Linked DNA regions of Saccharomyces cerevisiae S288C. The protein of the gene in region 1 interacts with the protein of each later gene in a biochemical or structural test. Each region holds a gene or a part of one and is shown in the gene's direction. Other genes may lie near its edges. The genes, in order: MCM1, MATALPHA1, MCM7 and HMLALPHA1.

Region 1 (5,835 bases):
GAGAGCGCCAGACTGAAGAAATACTTCGGTCAAGTTATCTGGAGGTCCTGTGTTCGATCCACAGAATTCGCATTAATTTTTTTTTACTTTTCATTCGTTTTCCTCTTTTGGTGATGAGCAGCATCACAGAAGCGGGTGGGTCATCCATTATTAGACGGTAAGTGAAAAAAATTTGATGATTCAGGTGAACCGCTATGGAAAGGCACGTAGTTCTACTTACTCCTAGCAAGTAGCTATGCGATTTTCCTGCGCCATTTTTTTTCCCACATTAGTTACATACACTCTCTAAAGAATATTGCTAAATATGACGTCGAATAGCGACGGTTCAAGTACCAGTCCAGTTGAGAAACCAATTACCGGCGATGTTGAAACTAATGAACCTACCAAACCAATACGGCGGCTTTCAACGCCATCGCCAGAACAAGATCAAGAAGGCGATTTCGACGAAGAAGACGATGATGACAAATTCAGCGTGAGCACATCAACTCCCACCCCAACCATAACGAAAACTAAGGACAGCAGCGACACAAGTACGGTTACGAGGCGGAAGCAGCCGATCAGGTACATCGAGAATAAGACCCGGAGACATGTCACCTTCTCGAAGAGGCGGCACGGGATCATGAAAAAAGCATATGAGCTCTCCGTCCTAACCGGCGCCAATATTCTGCTTCTAATTCTGGCAAACTCTGGCCTGGTCTACACTTTCACAACGCCTAAGCTCGAGCCGGTGGTACGGGAAGACGAGGGTAAGAGCCTCATCAGGGCATGCATCAATGCTTCAGACACTCCTGACGCTACCGACACGTCGCCGGCACAGGAACAATCTCCGGCAAACTGAACATGCGAGAGTAAGAGATGCCCCACGAAGGCATAGGCAGATCCATATAGCACAATACGCGCATATAAAGTAGCATTGCTGCCAAAGGGGGTTGCACAAGGAGTTGCCCTCCTTCGGCACGCGGCTCGGAACATACCGGAGTGTCCCCCTTTGAGTAATTTTTCTCAAAAGAGGCACTTTTGCGCTGGGCCGCAGGAAATTTCCCTTTCTGTTCAGCACCTGTTGTCCTATATTAAGCTGTGCCAAACAAGGTCATCTCCAAATACTTACCAAAAAGCTAGGGCGTACTGTACTGGAATCTCTGCTTTTTTCTTTACCTTACTTCAATTTGCCTTGTCTGCTTTTTTACGTGTGTTTTGGCGTTTCTGCTTTTCTTTTTTATTACTCGTTGTTGTAAATCATTTTCTAAGTATTATACATACTATATCATCGCATACCCAATCGGTTTCCTATTCTCACCACTTTTTTCTGGAAAAATACATAGCCTAACAAGCAATTTTATTTTACGTTTGTTAATTCATTATACTGATAATATTTTTGAATTTTTTTTTTTTTTGATACATTTTTTTTAATCGCTGTTTTGTCTGTTTTTTTCGATTCAGTTATAGGGAAAAAAACGGGAAAGGAAAGAGAAAAAAAAATTAGTGCAGAGCAATAAGAAGCGAAAATCAAAAAAAAGTTTTGGATCTGCAAGACTTGCTGTCACGCAACAATATTATAGCCACCCAGCAAAAATGTCAGACATCGAAGAAGGTACGCCTACTAATAATGGGCAACAGAAGGAGAGAAGAAAGATAGAAATTAAGTTCATCGAGAATAAAACAAGGCGCCATGTGACATTTTCCAAAAGGAAGCACGGTATCATGAAAAAGGCGTTTGAGCTTTCTGTTCTAACGGGGACCCAGGTCCTGTTGCTAGTCGTTTCAGAAACAGGTTTGGTATATACTTTCAGCACGCCGAAGTTTGAACCTATAGTCACGCAGCAGGAAGGTAGAAACCTGATCCAGGCCTGTCTTAACGCCCCTGATGATGAGGAAGAAGACGAGGAGGAAGACGGTGATGATGATGATGATGATGACGATGATGGTAATGATATGCAACGCCAGCAACCACAACAACAGCAACCGCAACAACAGCAACAAGTATTGAATGCACACGCAAATAGCTTAGGCCATCTAAATCAAGATCAGGTACCGGCAGGCGCGCTGAAACAAGAGGTGAAGTCACAATTGCTAGGCGGTGCCAATCCTAATCAAAACTCAATGATTCAACAGCAGCAACATCACACGCAGAATTCACAACCACAACAGCAACAGCAACAACAACCACAGCAGCAAATGTCACAGCAACAAATGTCACAGCATCCTCGACCACAGCAAGGAATACCACATCCGCAACAATCGCAGCCACAGCAACAGCAACAACAACAACAACAACTGCAACAGCAGCAACAGCAGCAACAACAACAACCCCTCACCGGCATTCATCAGCCTCACCAACAGGCTTTTGCCAACGCTGCCTCCCCCTATCTGAATGCTGAACAGAATGCTGCCTACCAACAATACTTTCAAGAACCGCAACAAGGCCAATACTAATCTTATCGATTTCCGTATATAATTCATAGACGAGCATTAAGAGGAAAAAGCTGTTTCCGTACCAATTAAAGAAAGATAGACAACAAGAACAAAAACGTACATTACTCTATATTGAAAAAAGCCCTATGTCGGTAAAAGAATAGGAAGTACCTTAGTCATCGGCACTTACCTTTTTTTTTACGATTACTTCTGGTTTGTTTCTTTGCCTCATTTCATTTTGCTGCCACTTTCTTTCATAGGCAAGAAGATTCAATCAAATCTCCCCTTCTCCTTCCCCGGATATATAAAATATAAATATAAAACTTTAAGAATATAAAAATATGAGAAACCACACATAACTTGTATACTTTACTCACATACACACATTTCCAAAAAAATTATAATGTTAATTACATTGCTTTTAATGCTAATCTTTTTTTAGTTGTATAATCATTACCATATAAATGCCTCTCGGTCTAATTTCATTGCCAGTATTGTAAGTTATATACTTTTATACGAGTGTACGGAAAATATCGTGGCTCCCCGTTAACAGTGAAATAAATCTACGCATGTAGCTGCCAGTTTTTTAAGCGTTATATCAATATTGGTAAAGTAAGAATTGACGAAGAAATTGTTAACTACATTTTTCAGAACGGCGTGTCATTCTCCGATAATGTCTGAAGCGATATTCCAGCCAACGGACATTGTCCTTGCCAAAGTTAAAGGCTTTTCAGCATGGCCAGCAATGATTATCCCTAATGAACTCATCCCAGATAACATCCTCAAGACCAAACCTGTGAGTGTCCACAAAGGCAAATCAGGTAGTGATAAAAAAGCAAATGAAGATATAGATGCAGACATGGAATCAGAGGCTAGAGATCGAGAGCAAAGCGAAGAAGAAGAAGATATAGAGGATTTTGGTGAGAGTGAGGCTAATCCTGAAAAATTTATAATATACACTCCCGTTCTGAAGTTTCGTAAAAATGATACGTTGAAATCGACTTACTGCGTCAAGTTTTTTTGCGATGATTCTTATATCTGGGTGAAGCCCATGGATATGAAGATTCTAACAAGCGAAGATTGTCGTAAGTGGCTAAGCGGCAAACAGCGGAAGAATAAGAAACTCATACCGGCATATGAAATGGCTATGAGAGGCAAAAATGGAATTGATATTTGGGAATTTGTGGAATATGGGTCTTACGGCAAGCCAGATGAAGAGGAATATGTAGAGGAAGAGGAAGAAGAGAACGAACCTGAAAAAAAGGCTATAAGGCCAACCAGGTCTTCCAGTAGACAGCGTCAGAAGCGCGCCTCAGAAACGGAAAAGAGTGAGGGCGGTAATAGCAATAAAAGGAAAAGAGTTACTAGATCGACTAGGCAACAAGCGATAGATGCTTCAGAAGAGGAAGAGGAGGAAGAGGAGGAAAAAGTACAAGAGGCTGTTAGAAAGAGGCCGCAAAGGACCAAAACTAAGAAAGTTGTAGTATCCAAGACTAAACCAAATCCAAAAACAAAGGCAAAGAAAGAGAAACCTAAACCACCTAAGCCAATCAAATATCATTTTGAAGATGATGAAGATTGGAGCATTGTTGGGTTGGGCCCACAAGATCTATCAATCGAAAAAACGATGGATCCGATTGCGAAAAAACTGTCGCAGAAGAAAAATCTAGAAAAGCATGTGGAGATTAAGCTAGATCTGGAGGATAAACTAGCAGGTATCAACAAGCTCCTGTGTGATGTCTTATGTTCAGCCATTAACCAGGCTGTTTCGATAAAGGATGATTTCGAAATAATATTAGATGAATTGCAGATTGCCCTTGACACCAGGGGGTCCAGAAACGAATTTATAACAATTTTCCAATCAAATAATTCCCTACTGTTAAACTTTAGGATATTATTTAACTTAAGAAAAAGGGAACTGAACAAATGGGATCTGTGGGATCGTTTCCAGGATATTTTCAAGCATATTTATTCCTACCAGTTCATACCTGATACGGAAGATTGGCAACTAGAGCAAAATATGGAAATTGAAGAAATGGATCGGGAAAAGCCGAGCTTTAGTGAAGACGTAAAGGAAGAAGAAAGCAAAGTAGGAGCATGACCTGTTGCTATTGCAGTTGATGTACTCTGCTTTTGAACAATAGAGGGGAAACCTGTGTACTATAAAATAGACTAAAACTATGTAACTTGTGTATGTTCTGATATGTATGACGCAGTCTTTGATAGTCCAAAACTCACCTAGACTGTGCTGTATTATTACAATTAAAGTTCTAAGTCTGTTGTGCATTATCATTTGAGAAATGGGGGAATGTTGAGATAATTGTTGGGATTCCATTGTTGATAAAGGCTATAATATTAGGTATACAGAATATACTAGAAGTTCTCCTCAAGGATATAGGAATCCTCAAAATGGAATCTATATTTCTACATACTAATATTACGATTATTCCTCATTCCGTTTTATATGTTTCATTATCCTATTACATTATCAATCCTTGCACTTCAGCTTCCTCTAACTTCGATGACAGCTTCTCATAACTTATGTCATCATCTTAACACCGTATATGATAATATATTGATAATATAACTATTAGTTGATAGACGATAGTGGATTTTTATTCCAACATACCACCCATAATGTAATAGATCTAATGAATCCATTTGTTTGTTAATAGTTTGAATGTTTTTATCGGAAGAGGTTTGGTCATTACGTCTGCAATATTCTTTTTGGTTTCGATATAGCATACGTGCAGATGATTTCCTGATACTTCATCTCTCAGTCTCATTGCTTTAGTACCAAAAAATCTGTTTCTAAATTTCTCTTCATTATTGGATATAATTATACTGATTGTAGATTTACTGTCGGTTAGTAATCCTTTGGTAATTGGTTTCTTGTCGAGTTCTTGTATCAGGTAACTTAGATTATTTAATAATGGGACAGATTCACTTATTGCGTGTATTTCTGCTTCCGTAGTTGAAGTACATGTTAATGAAGCCTTGGTGGACTTTCCTCCAATTACTTTTCCATTAAGTAAATATATGTTGCCAATTTGTGATTTATAATACGGTTGGTTACCATACGATGCATCGCTTATAACAACTAATTTATTTGTTGGCTTAACAGGTTTGCTTTTGTGCCATATTAATTGCTTATCTCTCGTATTCCATATGAACTGTATCAATTCATATGTCATATCTAACACTTGCTTGGACGGAAATAGTATATGTTGTGCAAGTGTGTTGATGTAGTATAATAGGTCAAATCTAAATTTATATCCAACATATGATGCTAGACCTATCAGCTTTTGCATTTCATGTACCTTCATTTTGTAATCATCTTCTTCTAGCTCTAGTTCTTGCTGGTCTATATATAGACCTGGTTGACCTGGAGCGCTAAGTTTCCTTCCTTTTGGGTTCAAAGGT
Region 2 (5,485 bases), on another chromosome or scaffold:
ACATGTCTTTCCATGTGTTGCTTCTTTCCCAAACAATGTGGTCGTGCAGGTACGACTTTAACTCTTGCTTGCATGAATCTACGTTCCCAGGCTGACCCATGAGAACAGCATAAAATTCAATAAGTTGTGCAATTTTACTGTTTAAACTGCTTAAAGTTTCATGCTGGAAGATGTAGGTGTCTTTGAAAAATTCTTCACTTTCTATTAATTCTTGCCTAGTGTTCATGTGCAATACTTTATCAGACTTCTTAGTAATTTTACTGAAACCCATTCTGTTCAATTCGATAAAAGATTTCAACTGGCAAAGGTCTATGTAAAGATTTATTATTGTCTGTTTTAATAATGACTTTTTCTGAGATTTAATGTTAAATTGCGAATAATTCAAGAGGGCGGTATTGTCGGTAGTGTCAGCAAACACGTCAACGTCATCATCTTCATCCATTTCTTCTTCGCTGTAATCAAACCTATTTCTCAATTCACTGTCGATGTTTGAAGAGTGTATTTCAAATGGGTTATTAGATGAATGTGTCTCTGATGTACCAGAAATAATTTCTCTTAAAGGAGGCAATGCTTGAATTTCAGGATTGAAAGTTTCATTCAATCTTGTTACAATGCCTTCCTTCTCCAAATCATTAATCAAGTGGTCAAATCTTTCATAGAACTTAGCTTCCATTCTTTTGTAGAAATCATCTACTTTCAATTTCTCGTCGCTCAGGTTAGTTACGAATGTATCATAAGAACTGAAGAGCGTCTTTCCCTCGCTACTCACAGATGAGCTGCGTGATTCAAAGAATTTCTTACGTATAAAATTCTTATTGAAAGAGGTGGTTTTCCCTTGAGGAGATAACTCGTCTAACTCAATTGTTTCCTCGTTAATATTGTTCCCATCTATGGCCTTTTCGTCGGAGTCTCCCCTTTTGCTTCCTGAAGGTGTTTTAGAACCAAAGAGCTTACGCTTGAGTTTATGTGTAAATCTTCTTTTCGATGAAGATGGTTCTCCTGCAGCTATGTTGCTTTCTATATCAGCGATTGGACCTGGAGTCTGAGAGTCAGCGTCATCGTTTAAGTCACCGGTTGGCGTTTCTTGTTTCAATTCATCTGTCTGTAATGTGTAGATCAAATTTTTCAATTCGTTATAATCTAGGTAATGATTCTGCCATTCAGGGACAGCGTTGTATTTGAGAAAGTGTGAGAATCTCATTTCGAGGCACAATAATAGCCGCCTTTACCGTAGTTTTGCTGCACCTTTATCTGAGAGCTGACTGCTTTTTTGGTGTGAAACACTGTTTTCTGGTAATAATTTTTCAATGCATCGGATTACTTTTCCCACGTGCGAAATCATCAATTAATTAGATTGAAAAAAGGGTAAGGGAAAATAAGAAAGAGGCGGTAGCCTAAAGATACGGTAATTGAAACGTTTCCTATGCACAATCTTAAACCTTTTTAGGTAATTGATTAAGTTGACTGTAATATCTGTAAAAGATTACATCTAATTTACGTCTGGTTTCTTATCAAAAAATATTATCTACTGTAGTTATGCAAGTATTCTTAATTTTCAGTACTAAACATGAATATTAATTATTTGTGAGCGTACAAGAAGCAAAAGGAAGTCATCTTTCTTTGAACAGTTCTGTTTTTAGGTAAGCCTTGGAACCTTAGCTATACTGACTTGATACGCCCTGTCTTTGTTGTCGTTATATAAAGTGTGCACCTTTATCATAGCCCCTAATAAGCTTCTTGCAGTAGTATTTGAACAGTGTATATCTTCATATTGCTTTTGTTGTAAATATTGCGCAAAAGCGACTATCTTTGTGATTTGGTTGAACTTTTGCATATTCACGTTATTACCATCTTTAGTGAATGTATCGTTTCCGTCTCTTATGAAGGTAATGTCCCTGATAAGCAGTGATGTAAAAGGTACACAAGGAAGCTGACTGTGGAAAATATGTTTAATTGTTCTTCTATAAACGTTGTAGTTGTTGTTTGGATGTACGACGACTTTTAGGCGCTGAAAAAGGTGGTCTGATTTAACATCTATCGGGAGAGATAGTCTTTCTATTGAATGATTTTGCAATGATGTAATGATTGAAGCAAGTGAGTTTAAGTTTCGTAAGTATAGACAAGACAGTGCAACTTGTAACCAGTAGGAAATGGTGTGCGTTTGCTGCAAAGTTGTCTCAAGAACGTAGGACGATAACTGGTTGGAAAGCGTAAACACGGAGTCAATTGTTGTATCGTTGTGTTTGAAATGTCTTGTGAATTCTATTGTTTCAATATCCAAGTAAAGAGAAGATTCTAAGAGAGTCAATGTCTTTGCAAGTGACCATGGAGATACGTTTAGAGCGAAGGCTTCGACTTCTAGAAGTTCACCCTGTTTCCATTGGAAAAGTAAATCACTGAGGTCAGTTGCACCGCACAATTCATCATTTGCGTTCGTTTTGTCTATCTCGTATTGGAGAAATAAGTTTTCGTAGTCCAGGGGCGGTTTATTTTCTTCGATTTCCTTATCAGTTAGACCAATGTAATGAATCTTCAATTGCCTCGTTCTTTTTTTGTTTATAAACAGCTGAACTATGTCTGCAAACAGTTCTTGGTATTCATAATATTCAGCCAAGTGACTGTACCAAAAATTGAGGATATCTTTTAATGTTGTCTCACTATCTTGCCAATAAGACTCTACCCAGATTTGTATTAGACGAGGGACGGAGTGATTTTTGTGTTTGTTTTTATTAATTGTGGGATAGGATAGTAGCAACTCTTGGAGGAGAGCATTGTCAGTTGTCCAGTCTCTGAAGTTAAGTAGTAAGTTTGCGGAGTCAAAGGGGGATGGCTTTTGCCATTTGTGAGAGTTGTGCGGCAGCATCTTATTCAAATAGAGCTGTATTCTGAAGACCTCTTGTAGAACATCATCCATACTAAAAAGTAAATCGTCCTGTCCCATTACGAGCTGTATTAGTGCTGTGACCCTCTGTATATTTACGTTGCCATGAAGAAGGTAATGGGCGATATTTTGATACAATTCCTGAGTTGCATGTTGGATTGAGTTTACGAAGGGTCGCCAGACGGCCAGAAACCTCCAGGCGGAGTTAACAACTAGTAATACGGCATCCATGTTTGCATCAGCGCCGAGCCTATACCAGTCACTGAGTAGACGTTTTCTTGCTCTTTTTATGTCCTGACTTCTTTTGACGAGGGGGCATTCTCTAGAGACACAGGCAGTTGCTTCCAGCAACTGCCGTACGGCCGTTCTCATGCTGTCGAGGATTTTTTTTGGGACGATATTGTCATTATAGGGCAGTGTGTGACTTATGAATTGTTGTAGAAGGACGTCTGTGATGTTGGAGATATGTATTTTGTTAACTCTTCTTGAGACGATTTGGCCCTGGATAGCGAAGCGTGCGGTTACAAATAGGTCGTCTTGTTCAAGAAGGTAGGCGAGGACATTATCTATCAGTACAAACATCTTAGTAGTGTCTGAGGAGAGGGTTGATTGTTTATGTATTTTTGCGAAATATATATATATATATTCTACACAGATATATACATATTTGTTTTTCGGGCTCATTCTTTCTTCTTTGCCAGAGGCTCACCGCTCAAGAGGTCCGCTAATTCTGGAGCGATTGTTATTGTTTTTTCTTTTCTTCTTCTATTCGAAACCCAGTTTTTGATTTGAATGCGAGATAAACTGGTATTCTTCATTAGATTCTCTAGGCCCTTGGTATCTAGATATGGGTTCTCGATGTTCTTTGCAAACCAACTTTCTAGTATTCGGACATTTTCTTTTGTAAACCGGTGTCCTCTGTAAGGTTTAGTACTTTTGTTTATCATATCTTGAGTTACCACATTAAATACCAACCCATCCGCCGATTTATTTTTCTGTGTAAGTTGATAATTACTTCTATCGTTTTCTATGCTGCGCATTTCTTTGAGTAATACAGTAATGGTAGTAGTGAGTTGAGATGTTGTTTGCAACAACTTCTTCTCCTCATCACTAATCTTACGGTTTTTGTTGGCCCTAGATAAGAATCCTAATATATCCCTTAATTCAACTTCTTCTTCTGTTGTTACACTCTCTGGTAACTTAGGTAAATTACAGCAAATAGAAAAGAGCTTTTTATTTATGTCTAGTATGCTGGATTTAAACTCATCTGTGATTTGTGGATTTAAAAGGTCTTTAATGGGTATTTTATTCATTTTTTCTTGCTTATCTTCCTTTTTTTCTTGCCCACTTCTAAGCTGATTTCAATCTCTCCTTTATATATATTTTTAAGTTCCAACATTTTATGTTTCAAAACATTAATGATGTCTGGGTTTTGTTTGGGATGCAATTTATTGCTTCCCAATGTAGAAAAGTACATCATATGAAACAACTTAAACTCTTAACTACTTCTTTTAACCTTCACTTTTTATGAAATGTATCAACCATATATAATAACTTAATAGACGACATTCACAATATGTTTACTTCGAAGCCTGCTTTCAAAATTAAGAACAAAGCATCCAAATCATACAGAAACACAGCGGTTTCAAAAAAGCTGAAAGAAAAACGTCTAGCTGAGCATGTGAGGCCAAGCTGCTTCAATATTATTCGACCACTCAAGAAAGATATCCAGATTCCTGTTCCTTCCTCTCGATTTTTAAATAAAATCCAAATTCACAGGATAGCGTCTGGAAGTCAAAATACTCAGTTTCGACAGTTCAATAAGACATCTATAAAATCTTCAAAGAAATATTTAAACTCATTTATGGCTTTTAGAGCATATTACTCACAGTTTGGCTCCGGTGTAAAACAAAATGTCTTGTCTTCTCTGCTCGCTGAAGAATGGCACGCGGACAAAATGCAGCACGGAATATGGGACTACTTCGCGCAACAGTATAATTTTATAAACCCTGGTTTTGGTTTTGTAGAGTGGTTGACGAATAATTATGCTGAAGTACGTGGTGACGGATATTGGGAAGATGTGTTTGTACATTTGGCCTTATAGAGTGTGGTCGTGGCGGAGGTTGTTTATCTTTCGAGTACTGAATGTTGTCAGTATAGCTATCCTATTTGAAACTCCCCATCGTCTTGCTCTTGTTCCCAATGTTTGTTTATACACTCATATGGCTATACCCTTATCTACTTGCCTCTTTTGTTTATGTCTATGTATTTGTATAAAATATGATATTACTCAGACTCAAGCAAACAATCAATTCTTAGCATCATTCTTTGTTCTTATCTTAACCATAAACGATCTTGATGTGACTTTTGTAATTTGAACGAATTGGCTATACGGGACGGATGACAAATGCACCATTACTCTAGGTTGTTGTTGGATCTTAACAAACCGTAAAGGTAAACTGCCCATGCGGTTCACATGACTTTTGACTTTCCTTTGTTTGCTAGTTACCTTCGGCTTCACAATTTGTTTTTCCACTTTTCTAACAGGTTTATCACCTTTCAAACTTATCTTTATCTTATTCGCCTTCTTGGGTGCCTCCACAG
Region 3 (7,634 bases), on another chromosome or scaffold:
GCTGGTTAGAAATTGCCATGAATTTCATGCCAGGTCACGTAATTTACTACATGGATGATATAATAGGGAAGATTTATGGCATCGATTTGTGTAAATCTCCGTACGACTGGTTCCGCAACACTGAAACACCCTAAAGGAAAGGCCGTTTTTATTTACCAAAAACCAATAACAAAAGTGAACGCTTGATAAACAAACATACTTAGCATAAATAACTACATATAAAATAGGCCAAGGATAAATGAAACGTTGACTAGAATGAATGAAAGATGTGAAAACAGTACAGTTAAAACTGCAATCCCACAAACTAAAAATAATATGAAGAACCTGTCTCAAATGTATAAATGCAGAATAAATAAGTAGCCGAAAAAGTCTCGGTAATTTTCTCCCTAATGATAACCCATATTTTCGAAAGACTCTAAAACCTGGTGTATGATCGTTGAGAACAAAATTCGTCCTTGTAGTAGTGTGTGTCTTTAGAAGCCATTCGGGCCGGTAGAAGGAAAGGTGTTGTTAGTCCCAGAGTGATGTAAGCAACATAAAACAACGTCGTCAGCTTTTTACTGGGAGCACTTGCCTTGTATGATTTAGAAACTTGTGAAAATGATTTCATGGCCAGCATTGTTAGTCCTCGATCTTTTGTGATATTTCCTATATATTACAAAAAAATTCTTGGTTTTCGCCTTGTCACAGGGAATAAATGTGGAATATAAAAGAGAGGAGAGGAGAGGAAAGAAGAAAAAAAACTTGGTGTCCGTTTGCAGATGGCCTATTATATACCCTGCTTATATAACTCTGAGAATTAGGAATATTTTGCTGTTGCTATGGTAATTAACATATTTCCAACAATAATGACCTTCTCGAGCTATTGTCTTCCTTGCAGTGGCGAAGAAACCACCGGAGAGTTGCAACGAACTGCCTTTCTTAGGAAGTGCGCGGGCTCTCTATTATGATAGGCCGATACGGTACAAAAGCTTAAAGTTGCCTTTGTATTACCTTTTTTAATCGCAGCAAACAATGCGAAGCACAGGTGTTCACTTTCCTTAGCTTCCCCTTTTCCGTGCTTTTGTTTATACTTCGTACAAAAATGAGGGGAAGGTACCAGGCAGGATACCTCACTGATTACGACGACAAGGAAAAGAGTAAAAATAATTTACTGTAAAACTTCCAAATTTGTCTGAGAGCAACAGAATAGAAGCACAAAGAAATGTACCCTACGAGAGACAGAGAGGGTAAAAGAGTAAGTAAATTCTAAAGTGGTGTGAATGTCATAACTTAAACTATTACCCACGGGATACCTGCTAGGTCAACGTAGCCGCTACTCGAATATAATAAGCGCTTCTTGTATATTTTCTCAATAACAGGTCGAGGCCCCTTCTACCCTTGAATGCTACTTATTACTCACTCATAATACATTGTATAAGCCTTCGCGTTTTTCACGGCCTCGAAAAAATTTTTCTTAACTAATTTACCCAGAAAGGAAATTTCCTTATAAGGAAAATAAATGCAATTCATTAAGTCGGTTTGCTTCTTTTTTCACGAAAGTGAGATACAAGCAAAGGACCAGAGCGAGATGTACTACAGTAGCAGGCTACATACACGTCTTTACCAATAACTTACATTTAGAAAGGCAATATAATCACTACCTAGATTAGCTTGAATCTTGCAGGAAGAACTCAATACAGATAGACCAGATTATGAGTGCGGCACTTCCATCAATTCAGCTTCCTGTCGACTATAATAATCTTTTTAATGAAATCACCGATTTTTTGGTGACTTTCAAGCAGGATACGTTGTCTTCTGATGCAACACGAAATGAGAACGAAGATGAAAATTTGGATGCTGAGAATATCGAACAACATCTATTGGAAAAGGGGCCCAAGTACATGGCGATGCTACAGAAAGTGGCTAATAGGGAACTGAATTCCGTGATTATTGATTTAGATGACATTCTACAGTATCAAAACGAAAAGTTTCTCCAGGGCACACAGGCAGACGACCTTGTGTCTGCCATTCAACAAAACGCTAATCACTTCACTGAATTATTTTGCCGTGCCATTGACAACAACATGCCGCTACCAACAAAAGAAATTGACTACAAGGACGACGTTCTTGATGTTATTTTAAACCAAAGGAGACTGAGGAATGAGAGAATGCTCTCGGACAGGACCAATGAGATCCGAAGCGAAAACCTCATGGATACCACGATGGATCCACCCTCTTCCATGAATGATGCGTTAAGAGAAGTTGTCGAGGATGAAACTGAGTTATTTCCTCCTAATTTAACTAGACGCTATTTCCTTTATTTTAAGCCTCTATCGCAAAATTGTGCTCGTCGTTACAGGAAGAAAGCAATTAGTTCTAAACCATTATCTGTTAGGCAGATTAAAGGTGACTTCCTAGGCCAATTGATTACCGTCAGAGGTATTATCACCAGAGTTTCTGATGTCAAACCAGCTGTGGAAGTTATCGCATATACCTGCGATCAATGTGGGTACGAAGTTTTCCAAGAGGTCAACTCTCGTACTTTTACTCCGTTGTCAGAATGTACTTCCGAAGAATGTTCCCAAAATCAAACAAAGGGTCAATTGTTTATGAGTACACGAGCTTCCAAATTTAGTGCCTTTCAGGAATGTAAAATTCAGGAGTTATCACAACAAGTGCCAGTGGGTCATATTCCTAGGTCGCTAAATATCCACGTTAACGGGACGCTGGTAAGATCTTTATCGCCTGGTGATATCGTCGATGTAACTGGTATATTCTTGCCAGCGCCCTACACCGGTTTCAAAGCTTTGAAAGCTGGCTTACTGACAGAAACTTATTTAGAGGCACAGTTTGTCCGTCAACACAAGAAGAAATTTGCGTCTTTCAGTCTGACTTCTGATGTAGAAGAGAGAGTTATGGAATTAATCACCTCTGGTGATGTTTATAATAGGCTGGCAAAATCTATTGCACCGGAAATCTACGGTAACTTGGACGTAAAGAAAGCGTTGCTGCTATTACTTGTCGGAGGTGTTGATAAAAGGGTAGGTGACGGTATGAAAATCAGAGGTGATATCAATGTTTGTCTGATGGGTGATCCCGGTGTTGCCAAATCTCAACTGCTGAAGGCCATTTGCAAAATATCACCTCGAGGAGTGTATACCACTGGTAAGGGTTCCTCAGGCGTTGGTCTGACCGCTGCCGTCATGAAAGATCCTGTCACGGATGAAATGATTCTAGAAGGTGGTGCCTTAGTACTCGCTGATAACGGTATTTGTTGTATCGATGAATTTGATAAGATGGATGAAAGTGACAGAACGGCAATCCATGAAGTTATGGAACAACAAACAATTTCGATATCCAAGGCGGGTATCAATACAACTTTGAACGCCAGAACCTCAATCTTAGCGGCAGCAAATCCGTTGTATGGTAGATATAATCCTAGATTATCACCTCTGGACAATATAAATCTACCAGCTGCTTTACTATCCAGATTTGATATTCTCTTCTTAATGTTAGATATACCAAGTAGAGATGACGACGAAAAATTAGCCGAGCACGTTACATATGTGCATATGCATAATAAACAACCGGATTTGGACTTCACTCCAGTAGAACCCTCTAAAATGAGAGAGTACATTGCCTATGCTAAGACAAAGAGGCCAGTGATGAGTGAAGCTGTAAACGATTATGTGGTGCAAGCTTACATCAGATTAAGACAAGACTCCAAGAGAGAAATGGATTCCAAATTTTCCTTTGGTCAAGCCACTCCGAGAACTTTACTAGGTATTATAAGATTATCTCAAGCGCTAGCAAAGTTAAGGTTGGCTGATATGGTGGATATAGATGATGTGGAGGAAGCCTTGAGGTTGGTCCGAGTCTCCAAGGAATCATTGTATCAAGAAACCAACAAATCTAAAGAAGATGAAAGCCCCACAACGAAAATCTTTACGATCATCAAGAAAATGTTACAAGAAACTGGTAAAAACACGCTATCATATGAAAATATTGTGAAAACTGTAAGACTAAGAGGGTTTACCATGCTACAATTAAGCAACTGTATCCAAGAATATTCTTACTTAAACGTCTGGCATTTAATTAATGAGGGTAACACTTTGAAATTCGTGGATGACGGTACCATGGACACAGACCAGGAAGACTCACTAGTGAGCACGCCTAAACTCGCACCACAAACGACCGCTTCCGCTAATGTGAGCGCCCAAGATTCTGATATCGATCTACAAGACGCTTGAAAGTTCTAAAAAAAAAAGCAACAGGGCCTTCATTCTTTATTCTTTTTCCCCCTTTTTTTCATTTCCATATAGCTGCACATTCAAATTTACCTTCTGTAACTTACTTCCAAGGCCCAGTTTTCAAGATATGTATTCTGTATTATTATAATTTTACTAATATTATTCATCGCTTTTGCCAGCCACAGACCCCACACATTTCGGACTTAACATTATGACTGCGCATGTCCGTGCACCGCGGCCCAATTCTTGTTTTTTTTTTTTTGCGGAGAAAGGAAAATTATCTTCAAGCGGAATAGGGCCAGCTAGTATTGCTCAGATGTGCCTGTGGAGAGCCGTGCTACAGGGTACCGTCAGCCCCTGAGTATACCAGAGAGTACACCGTGCGGAGTTCTTCCAGAAAATGAAAAGATTGTTCTCAGAATAATTCGTAGCGCTTGATAATAATCCGAATTTGAGATACCTGCCGGCACCCATTCTGTTATCGCCAAGAGGACTTTTAGGGGACCCGCAGACAGTAAAATTTTTTTCATTCATTAACATGTGAAGGCAACATTCATCGATCTCCATCCCTACTGTCAAAAATATAAGTATATATATATATATATTTATATAGTCTATATATATATAGTCCCACTCTCAAACTAATATAACCTTTACAAACCTGTCCGCTCAGTACGGTAGTCCTATTTTATTCCGTTTACTAGATTATATTTGAAGATATTTTTTTATTCTTGAAAATCCCGGACGATAGTATTTTTAGCTGAAGAATATTTGCGGGGAGGAACTATATAGACACTCGAAGCAAGAGGGGAAAAGGAGAAAGAAAAAAAGGTACACTAAACAAGGTCGAGTGTATTGATGTCAAGTGCTTCAAGACTTCAAAACGTCAATATTGTTTCTAACAACTATTCTCGTTACGGAACTTCCGTTTACGATAAGTTGTATCATAGTAACGGCAGTGGTAGCAATAATGCTGGTAAGAATTCTACCACAGTTGGTAAACTGTCATCTATCTCACAAAAGTCCAGGAGCAAACAGCGTCATGGCTCAAATTGCTCCAGATCAATGAGTCAATCACCCTTATCGACGTTCAAATCTCCACTCAGCAATCAAAATCAATCCAGCGCTCCTGATGATTTGGCTTCCATAGGTCAGAGACGCAGTGACGACGTCACATCTTTAGATAATGAAACTATCATAACGATGAATTCAAGGAAATCAAGGATTAAAAAAAAGTATAAATCCTTAATCTCCACCTCTTCAAAAAAATTTATGAATAAATTGTACGATCATGGTGCTTCATCCGACTCATTTTCTATATTTTCTCTGAAGACTTCCCATTCTGGTAAACATGAAAATTCCAGATTTGAAAAGCTGAGGAAGAGAAAATACCATGCTTGGGGCAAATTTGCCGATATCAACGATTTACCAGTTGAAATAATTGCCAAAATACTTTCTGAATTCGAGTTAGGTCGTGATCAAAAGACACTCGTAAGATGTCTATACGTATCGAAGAAGTTTTATAAGGCGACAAAGATCGTCCTTTATAGGCTACCTTACTTCACTTCCACTTACAGAGTGGCGCAGTTTGTCACCTCACTAAGATTACATCCGGATAACGGGGCATACGTGAAAGTATTGGACCTATCACACTTGAAGCCGGGAATTATAGGCCAAGACTCGAAGGATTCTCAAGGCCTAGACGATGATGGCCACTCAAGGCGTCACAGACGCCGTCGCCGCAGATCTACTAACACAAGTTTGAATCTACCTCCAGCTACTCCAACATCTACCATTTCTAACGAGGATGATGCCAATAGCGGATTAATCAAAGACGACGCTTCAAATGGCAGTGAAGTTGAAGACTTGGCATTAGCTGGTTGGAGAGACTGGAGATACAGAAATGAACCCCTTTATAGCTCTCCTCTGTTGAACAGCTTTAAACTGAAAAAAGTGGTTTCTCGTTCTTCTTCTATCACTTCTACATCTTCTGGAAATTCCACCGGTGTTCACTCTACAAGGAGACAACGTTCCAATAGTTCCGTTGCTTCCATAACGACGAGTATCATGTCATCCATCTATAACACCTCCCATGTCTCATTGTCTTCAACCACGTCTAATACCAGCAATGGTAACATCTCTTCTGGTAGTAATCTGTCAAGAGTTTCCACTGCTGGATCATTGAAAAAAGCTTCTGCGAAGTCCACAAGGTCATCTCCTCAGAAAGCAAAACCTATATCTGACATTACGTCATCTTCCTGGTTTAGAATGAGGTTAAGTTCAAGAAATAGAAAGGCAAGGACAGCTAATACGATTAATTTAAAGAACTCGAAGGATAAGTCTGACGATGACTTTAAAGTTTTAAAGCACGATTCGGGGCATCCATCCAATTATCGTTCTTCGACATTAAAATTTAGCATTGAACAACCATTTAGTACGCATCATCCGTATGCCAACAAATTTCTTTTAAAGTACGCTCCTTATAAAGATCTGCCCCTAGGTTATATTTTACATATGCTGAACCTGTGTCCTAACCTTGTTGAACTAAACCTTTCCAATTTAGTTATTTGTACCGATTTCAAATTAATCAACCAAAGATCCGAAAGAAGAAGGATGACATCTTCACTGTTGCCCGCTGTCCAGGAGTCTAGTGTTTCTGCAGGCCCTGAGAAAGATTTAGAAATTGTCTATATGACCGATTCTGGCAAAGGTTATGAATATTATGAGGGGTTAAGCAAGAAACACTCACGTTCTTCAAGCCTAGGTACCAATCCATCTAGTTGGATTGGAGGTCAGGCGAATTGGACAGATTACCCACCTCCAATCGATGCACAAACGAAAACAAGAGAGGAACACAGACGCAACAATACCTTGAACAATAAGAACGTCGTATTAAAGAAGCTAAACCCTTTTGAAATTTTTGAAATGATCTGCAATAGAAATGAAGAAAAAGGTGGCTACTGCTCCTTAACTAAGGTGAAAATGAATGACATTGTGTGGTGCAGGCAATATATGGTAAAGTATTTTGTAATGAGGACGTTTCGCCAGCATTTGGATTATAAATCCATGGAAAACAACTCTTATGAAAGACACTTATTCAGTTTCCGGGACTCTGGCTTGGATAGAAATTTTTCCTGGGCTTGTAATGCCAAATTGCATGAATTTGTCGCATTGATGGTTATGGATCATCTTTCAAATTTAGATGATTTAGGATTAGAAGAGCTTTTTAATATCAAGTCCGAAAAGCTATATATAAAAAACTATTGTTGCCGAGACCCGGATATTCTCGAAATATCAAACTTATTTGATATTAGATATGGGGCCGGATCTGAGGCTGATGCTACTTCTGATTCCAATCTCGAAGCAGAATCTTTACAATTCAGGTTGACAATATTAAAAACA
Region 4 (5,515 bases), on another chromosome or scaffold:
TTGAAACAAGGAAAAAAATGCGGTGCCTGTCGACAGGATATGCGCACAAGTGCAAAATCATCAAAAAATTGAGTACCTAGATCCGGTGGTGTAGGACGAGCAAAGTTCCTTCATAAACAAACCGTAAGGGTTACTGATACACAATTTCCTTTTTGTAAAGAGTATTTGAGCAAATTAGTCAGCGATTGAAAACAACACCCTTTTTTCTATATATAGTAGGTGAAAGTTAACATGCGAGTAAAAGTAGTGCCACATTTCCTTTGCAGCAGGTGCAAATTGGTACATATTTAACAGATAGCGCCGCACCTCATATGCAGCGCGTACATGATACGAGACGACAAGATATGCAAAAGATAATAGTGTCATCACACCTTTATGAGAAGCGAATTTTTTTTTTTTTTTGGTTTAAATATATATATATACATATATATAGATATAGATATACACATGTATAGATGTATTCTAGTTATGCTTATACCTAGAACTGATCAGACCAGATCATACCTGGTATAGAGCTTAATCGATAGAAATTCAAAAATATGGAGGAAACTAAGTACTCTTCGCAGCAGGAGATAGAAGAAGCATGTGGTTCAGACGCTTCATTGAATGCTAGAGGTAGCAATGATTCTCCAATGGGACTTTCCTTGTACCTCTGCCTGGCTTCGTGAACTCTTGTACTATTCATAACTGCACTGGATATTTTGATAGTGGGAACTATTATTGACGTGGTCGCAGAACAGTTCGGAAACTACTCCAAAACAGGTTGGCTCGTTACAGGCTACAGTTTACCAAATGCTATTCTGAGTCTCATTTGGGGAAGATTCGCATCTATCATAGGTTTCCAGCATAGTCTCATTTTAGCAATACTTATTTTTGAAGCCGGATCCCTAATTGCTGCCCTTGCCTCTTCAATGAATATGCTCATTGTCGGTAGAGTTGTTGCTAGTGTTGGGGGAAGCGGACTTCAAACGCTTTGCTTTGTTATTGGTTGTACGATGGTTGGTGAAAGGTCACGTCCATTGGTGATTTCCATCCTAAGTTGTGCATTTGCTGTAGCTGCTATCGTTGGTCCTATAATCGGAGGTGCCTTTACAACCCATGTTACCTGGAGGTGGTGCTTCTATATCAATCTTCCTATCGGTGGTCTTGCCATTATTATGTTTTTACTCACATATAAGGCCGAGAATAAGGGTATACTTCAACAAATTAAAGATGCTATAGGAACAATCTCGAGCTTTACTTTTAGTAAGTTCAGACACCAAGTTAATTTTAAAAGACTTATGAATGGCATAATCTTCAAGTTTGACTTCTTTGGTTTTGCCCTCTGCTCTGCAGGGCTGGTCCTTTTCCTACTGGGGCTAACCTTTGGTGGTAATAAATATAGTTGGAACTCTGGCCAAGTCATCGCATATTTGGTTTTGGGTGTCTTACTTTTTATTTTTTCATTGGTGTACGATTTCTTCTTATTCGATAAATTCAACCCGGAACCTGATAATATATCCTACAGGCCTCTCCTTCTAAGAAGATTGGTAGCAAAACCAGCCATAATAATAATAAACATGGTAACATTTCTATTATGTACCGGTTACAATGGGCAAATGATATACTCTGTCCAGTTTTTCCAACTTATATTTGCGTCGAGTGCATGGAAAGCCGGTCTTCACTTGATACCAATCGTTATTACCAACGTTATTGCGGCCATTGCAAGTGGTGTGATTACCAAAAAGCTCGGTTTAGTTAAACCACTCTTAATATTTGGAGGCGTTCTTGGGGTAATTGGAGCAGGGCTTATGACACTTATGACAAATACGTCCACGAAGTCAACTCAAATTGGTGTTTTGCTATTACCGGGGTTTTCCCTTGGATTTGCTCTACAAGCATCGCTCATGAGTGCACAGCTTCAAATTACCAAAGATCGTCCAGAAGCTGCTATGGACTTTATTGAAGTAACAGCTTTCAATACATTCATGAAGTCATTAGGTACAACTCTTGGTGGTGTGCTTTCAACCACTGTTTTTTCCGCCTCCTTTCACAACAAAGTATCACGAGCTCATCTAGAGCCTTACGAAGGAAAAACGGTTGATGACATGATTTTGTATCGTCTTCAAAACTACGACGGTTCTCATTCGACTATTGGAAACATTTTAAGCGACTCCATTAAGAACGTATTTTGGATGGATCTAGGGTTTTATGCCTTAGGATTTTTGTTTTGTAGTTTTTCATCCAATAAGAAATTAATCATACCAAAAAAGGACGAGACACCAGAAGATAATTTAGAAGACAAGTAGCGCAGTTATTTTCTTATTTTCATTTTATTTTTTTCGCCTTTTATACAGACTTCAACACAATCAGAATCAAATAGGTGTATCGCAATGGAATGTAATTTCTTAAGTATTCTATATGTACTTAAAACCTATTAATATATGGATCAACACAGTATCTTATGAATGGGTTTTTGATTTTTTTATGTTTTTTTAAAACATTAAAGTTTTCGGCACGGACTTATTTGGAATTCAAATTATTAATGAAAGAACAATTAACTAATTAATGTACTTAGTATTTGGCCATTATTATCGATTTCGGGGGCCAAATCTAACCAAATTCAACCTACATTTTTTCAAATTGATTCAAACACCTTTCACAATAAGATTTTTATATCTAGCGCACATAGAATGAAATGTAAACAAAGATTTCAGAAAAATCGTCATTCAAACTTGTATTAGACGAGGGACGGAGTGATTTTTGTGTTTGTTTTTATTAATTGTGGGATAGGATAGTAGCAACTCTTGGAGGAGAGCATTGTCAGTTGTCCAGTCTCTGAAGTTAAGTAGTAAGTTTGCGGAGTCAAAGGGGGATGGCTTTTGCCATTTGTGAGAGTTGTGCGGCAGCATCTTATTCAAATAGAGCTGTATTCTGAAGACCTCTTGTAGAACATCATCCATACTAAAAAGTAAATCGTCCTGTCCCATTACGAGCTGTAGTAGTGCTGTGACCCTCTGTATATTTACGTTGCCATGAAGAAGGTAATGGGCGATATTTTGATACAATTCCTGAGTTGCATGTTGGATTGAGTTTACGAAGGGTCGCCAGACGGCCAGAAACCTCCAGGCGGAGTTAACAACTAGTAATACGGCATCCATGTTTGCATCAGCGCCGAGCCTATACCAGTCACTGAGTAGACGTTTTCTTGCTCTTTTTATGTCCTGACTTCTTTTGACGAGGGGGCATTCTCTAGAGACACAGGCAGTTGCTTCCAGCAACTGCCGTACGGCCGTTCTCATGCTGTCGAGGATTTTTTTTGGGACGATATTGTCATTATAGGGCAGTGTGTGACTTATGAATTGTTGTAGAAGGACGTCTGTGATGTTGGAGATATGTATTTTGTTAACTCTTCTTGAGACAATTTGGCCCTGGATAGCGAAGCGTGCGGTTACAAATAGGTCGTCTTGTTCAAGAAGGTAGGCGAGGACATTATCTATCAGTACAAACATCTTAGTAGTGTCTGAGGAGAGGGTTGATTGTTTATGTATTTTTGCGAAATATATATATATATATATTCTACACAGATATATACATATTTGTTTTTCGGGCTCATTCTTTCTTCTTTGCCAGAGGCTCACCGCTCAAGAGGTCCGCTAATTCTGGAGCGATTGTTATTGTTTTTTCTTTTCTTCTTCTATTCGAAACCCAGTTTTTGATTTGAATGCGAGATAAACTGGTATTCTTCATTAGATTCTCTAGGCCCTTGGTATCTAGATATGGGTTCTCGATGTTCTTTGCAAACCAACTTTCTAGTATTCGGACATTTTCTTTTGTAAACCGGTGTCCTCTGTAAGGTTTAGTACTTTTGTTTATCATATCTTGAGTTACCACATTAAATACCAACCCATCCGCCGATTTATTTTTCTGTGTAAGTTGATAATTACTTCTATCGTTTTCTATGCTGCGCATTTCTTTGAGTAATACAGTAATGGTAGTAGTGAGTTGAGATGTTGTTTGCAACAACTTCTTCTCCTCATCACTAATCTTACGGTTTTTGTTGGCCCTAGATAAGAATCCTAATATATCCCTTAATTCAACTTCTTCTTCTGTTGTTACACTCTCTGGTAACTTAGGTAAATTACAGCAAATAGAAAAGAGCTTTTTATTTATGTCTAGTATGCTGGATTTAAACTCATCTGTGATTTGTGGATTTAAAAGGTCTTTAATGGGTATTTTATTCATTTTTTCTTGCTTATCTTCCTTTTTTTCTTGCCCACTTCTAAGCTGATTTCAATCTCTCCTTTATATATATTTTTAAGTTCCAACATTTTATGTTTCAAAACATTAATGATGTCTGGGTTTTGTTTGGGATGCAATTTATTGCTTCCCAATGTAGAAAAGTACATCATATGAAACAACTTAAACTCTTAACTACTTCTTTTAACCTTCACTTTTTATGAAATGTATCAACCATATATAATAACTTAATAGACGACATTCACAATATGTTTACTTCGAAGCCTGCTTTCAAAATTAAGAACAAAGCATCCAAATCATACAGAAACACAGCGGTTTCAAAAAAGCTGAAAGAAAAACGTCTAGCTGAGCATGTGAGGCCAAGCTGCTTCAATATTATTCGACCACTCAAGAAAGATATCCAGATTCCTGTTCCTTCCTCTCGATTTTTAAATAAAATCCAAATTCACAGGATAGCGTCTGGAAGTCAAAATACTCAGTTTCGACAGTTCAATAAGACATCTATAAAATCTTCAAAGAAATATTTAAACTCATTTATGGCTTTTAGAGCATATTACTCACAGTTTGGCTCCGGTGTAAAACAAAATGTCTTGTCTTCTCTGCTCGCTGAAGAATGGCACGCGGACAAAATGCAGCACGGAATATGGGACTACTTCGCGCAACAGTATAATTTTATAAACCCTGGTTTTGGTTTTGTAGAGTGGTTGACGAATAATTATGCTGAAGTACGTGGTGACGGATATTGGGAAGATGTGTTTGTACATTTGGCCTTATAGAGTGTGGTCGTGGCGGAGGTTGTTTATCTTTCGAGTACTGAATGTTGTCAGTATAGCTATCCTATTTGAAACTCCCCATCGTCTTGCTCTTGTTCCCAATGTTTGTTTATACACTCATATGGCTATACCCTTATCTACTTGCCTCTTTTGTTTATGTCTATGTATTTGTATAAAATATGATATTACTCAGACTCAAGCAAACAATCAAAGAAATCTTTCACTGCTCTTTTCTGTGTTCCATTTAGTTTTTAGTACGATTGCATTGTCTATATACTGTATTTACCAAATCTTAATTTTAGTCAAACATTAATGTTTACTTTCGTATTTAAGGATGTGTATACTAAGCCTTGGGAAAATGCGTGTTCCTTGTGCCATCCGAAAGCTACTTCATAAAAAAGATACTGTTCATTTTCAAGCCCGCATAGTTGGATCAAATATTAACTATATATCAACATGGTCCAAAGATCGTAAGTTTGGTCTAATGTTGTTTTAGCAAAAAA

The links.
Region 2: the proteins of MCM1 (region 1) and MATALPHA1 form a complex in vitro, tested with the Saccharomyces cerevisiae proteins (one study listed by BioGRID).
Region 3: the proteins of MCM1 (region 1) and MCM7 form a complex in vitro, tested with the Saccharomyces cerevisiae proteins (one study listed by BioGRID).
Region 4: the proteins of MCM1 (region 1) and HMLALPHA1 form a complex in vitro, tested with the Saccharomyces cerevisiae proteins (one study listed by BioGRID).

The regions. Positions count from the first base shown.
Region 1 is NC_001145.3:352,299-358,133, forward strand, and holds MCM1 (transcription factor MCM1), read left to right. Parts: upstream 1-1,572; coding exon 1,573-2,433; downstream 2,434-5,835. Other genes in the region: ARG80 (Arg80p), read left to right, coding at 305-838; IOC4 (Ioc4p), read left to right, coding at 3,086-4,513. UniProt on the Saccharomyces cerevisiae protein: Transcription factor required for the efficient replication of minichromosomes and the transcriptional regulation of early cell cycle genes. Activates transcription of ECB-dependent genes during the G1/M phase.
Region 2 is NC_001135.5:195,985-201,469, forward strand, and holds MATALPHA1 (transcriptional co-activator mating type protein alpha), read left to right. Parts: upstream 1-4,457; coding exon 4,458-4,985; downstream 4,986-5,485. Other genes in the region: PHO87 (SPX domain-containing inorganic phosphate transporter), read right to left, coding at 1-1,201; Ras family guanine nucleotide exchange factor BUD5, read right to left, coding at 1,637-3,565; MATALPHA2 (homeodomain mating type protein alpha2), read right to left, coding at 3,562-4,194; YCR041W (uncharacterized protein), read left to right, coding at 4,927-5,259; transcription initiation factor TFIID subunit TAF2, read right to left, coding at 5,190-5,485. UniProt on the Saccharomyces cerevisiae protein: Mating type proteins are sequence specific DNA-binding proteins that act as master switches in yeast differentiation by controlling gene expression in a cell type-specific fashion.
Region 3 is NC_001134.8:624,078-631,711, forward strand, and holds MCM7 (DNA replication licensing factor MCM7), read left to right. Parts: upstream 1-1,694; coding exon 1,695-4,232; downstream 4,233-7,634. Other genes in the region: DER1 (derlin), read left to right, coding at 1-134; MIN7 (Min7p), read right to left, coding at 416-619; COS111 (Cos111p), read left to right, coding at 5,091-7,634. UniProt on the Saccharomyces cerevisiae protein: Acts as a component of the MCM2-7 complex (MCM complex) which is the putative replicative helicase essential for 'once per cell cycle' DNA replication initiation and elongation in eukaryotic cells.
Region 4 is NC_001135.5:8,795-14,309, forward strand, and holds HMLALPHA1 (transcriptional co-activator mating type protein alpha), read left to right. Parts: upstream 1-4,487; coding exon 4,488-5,015; downstream 5,016-5,515. Other genes in the region: VBA3 (basic amino acid transporter), read left to right, coding at 912-2,288; YCL068C (uncharacterized protein), read right to left, coding at 2,709-3,491; HMLALPHA2 (homeodomain mating type protein alpha2), read right to left, coding at 3,592-4,224. UniProt on the Saccharomyces cerevisiae protein: Mating type proteins are sequence specific DNA-binding proteins that act as master switches in yeast differentiation by controlling gene expression in a cell type-specific fashion. Silenced copy of ALPHA1 at HML.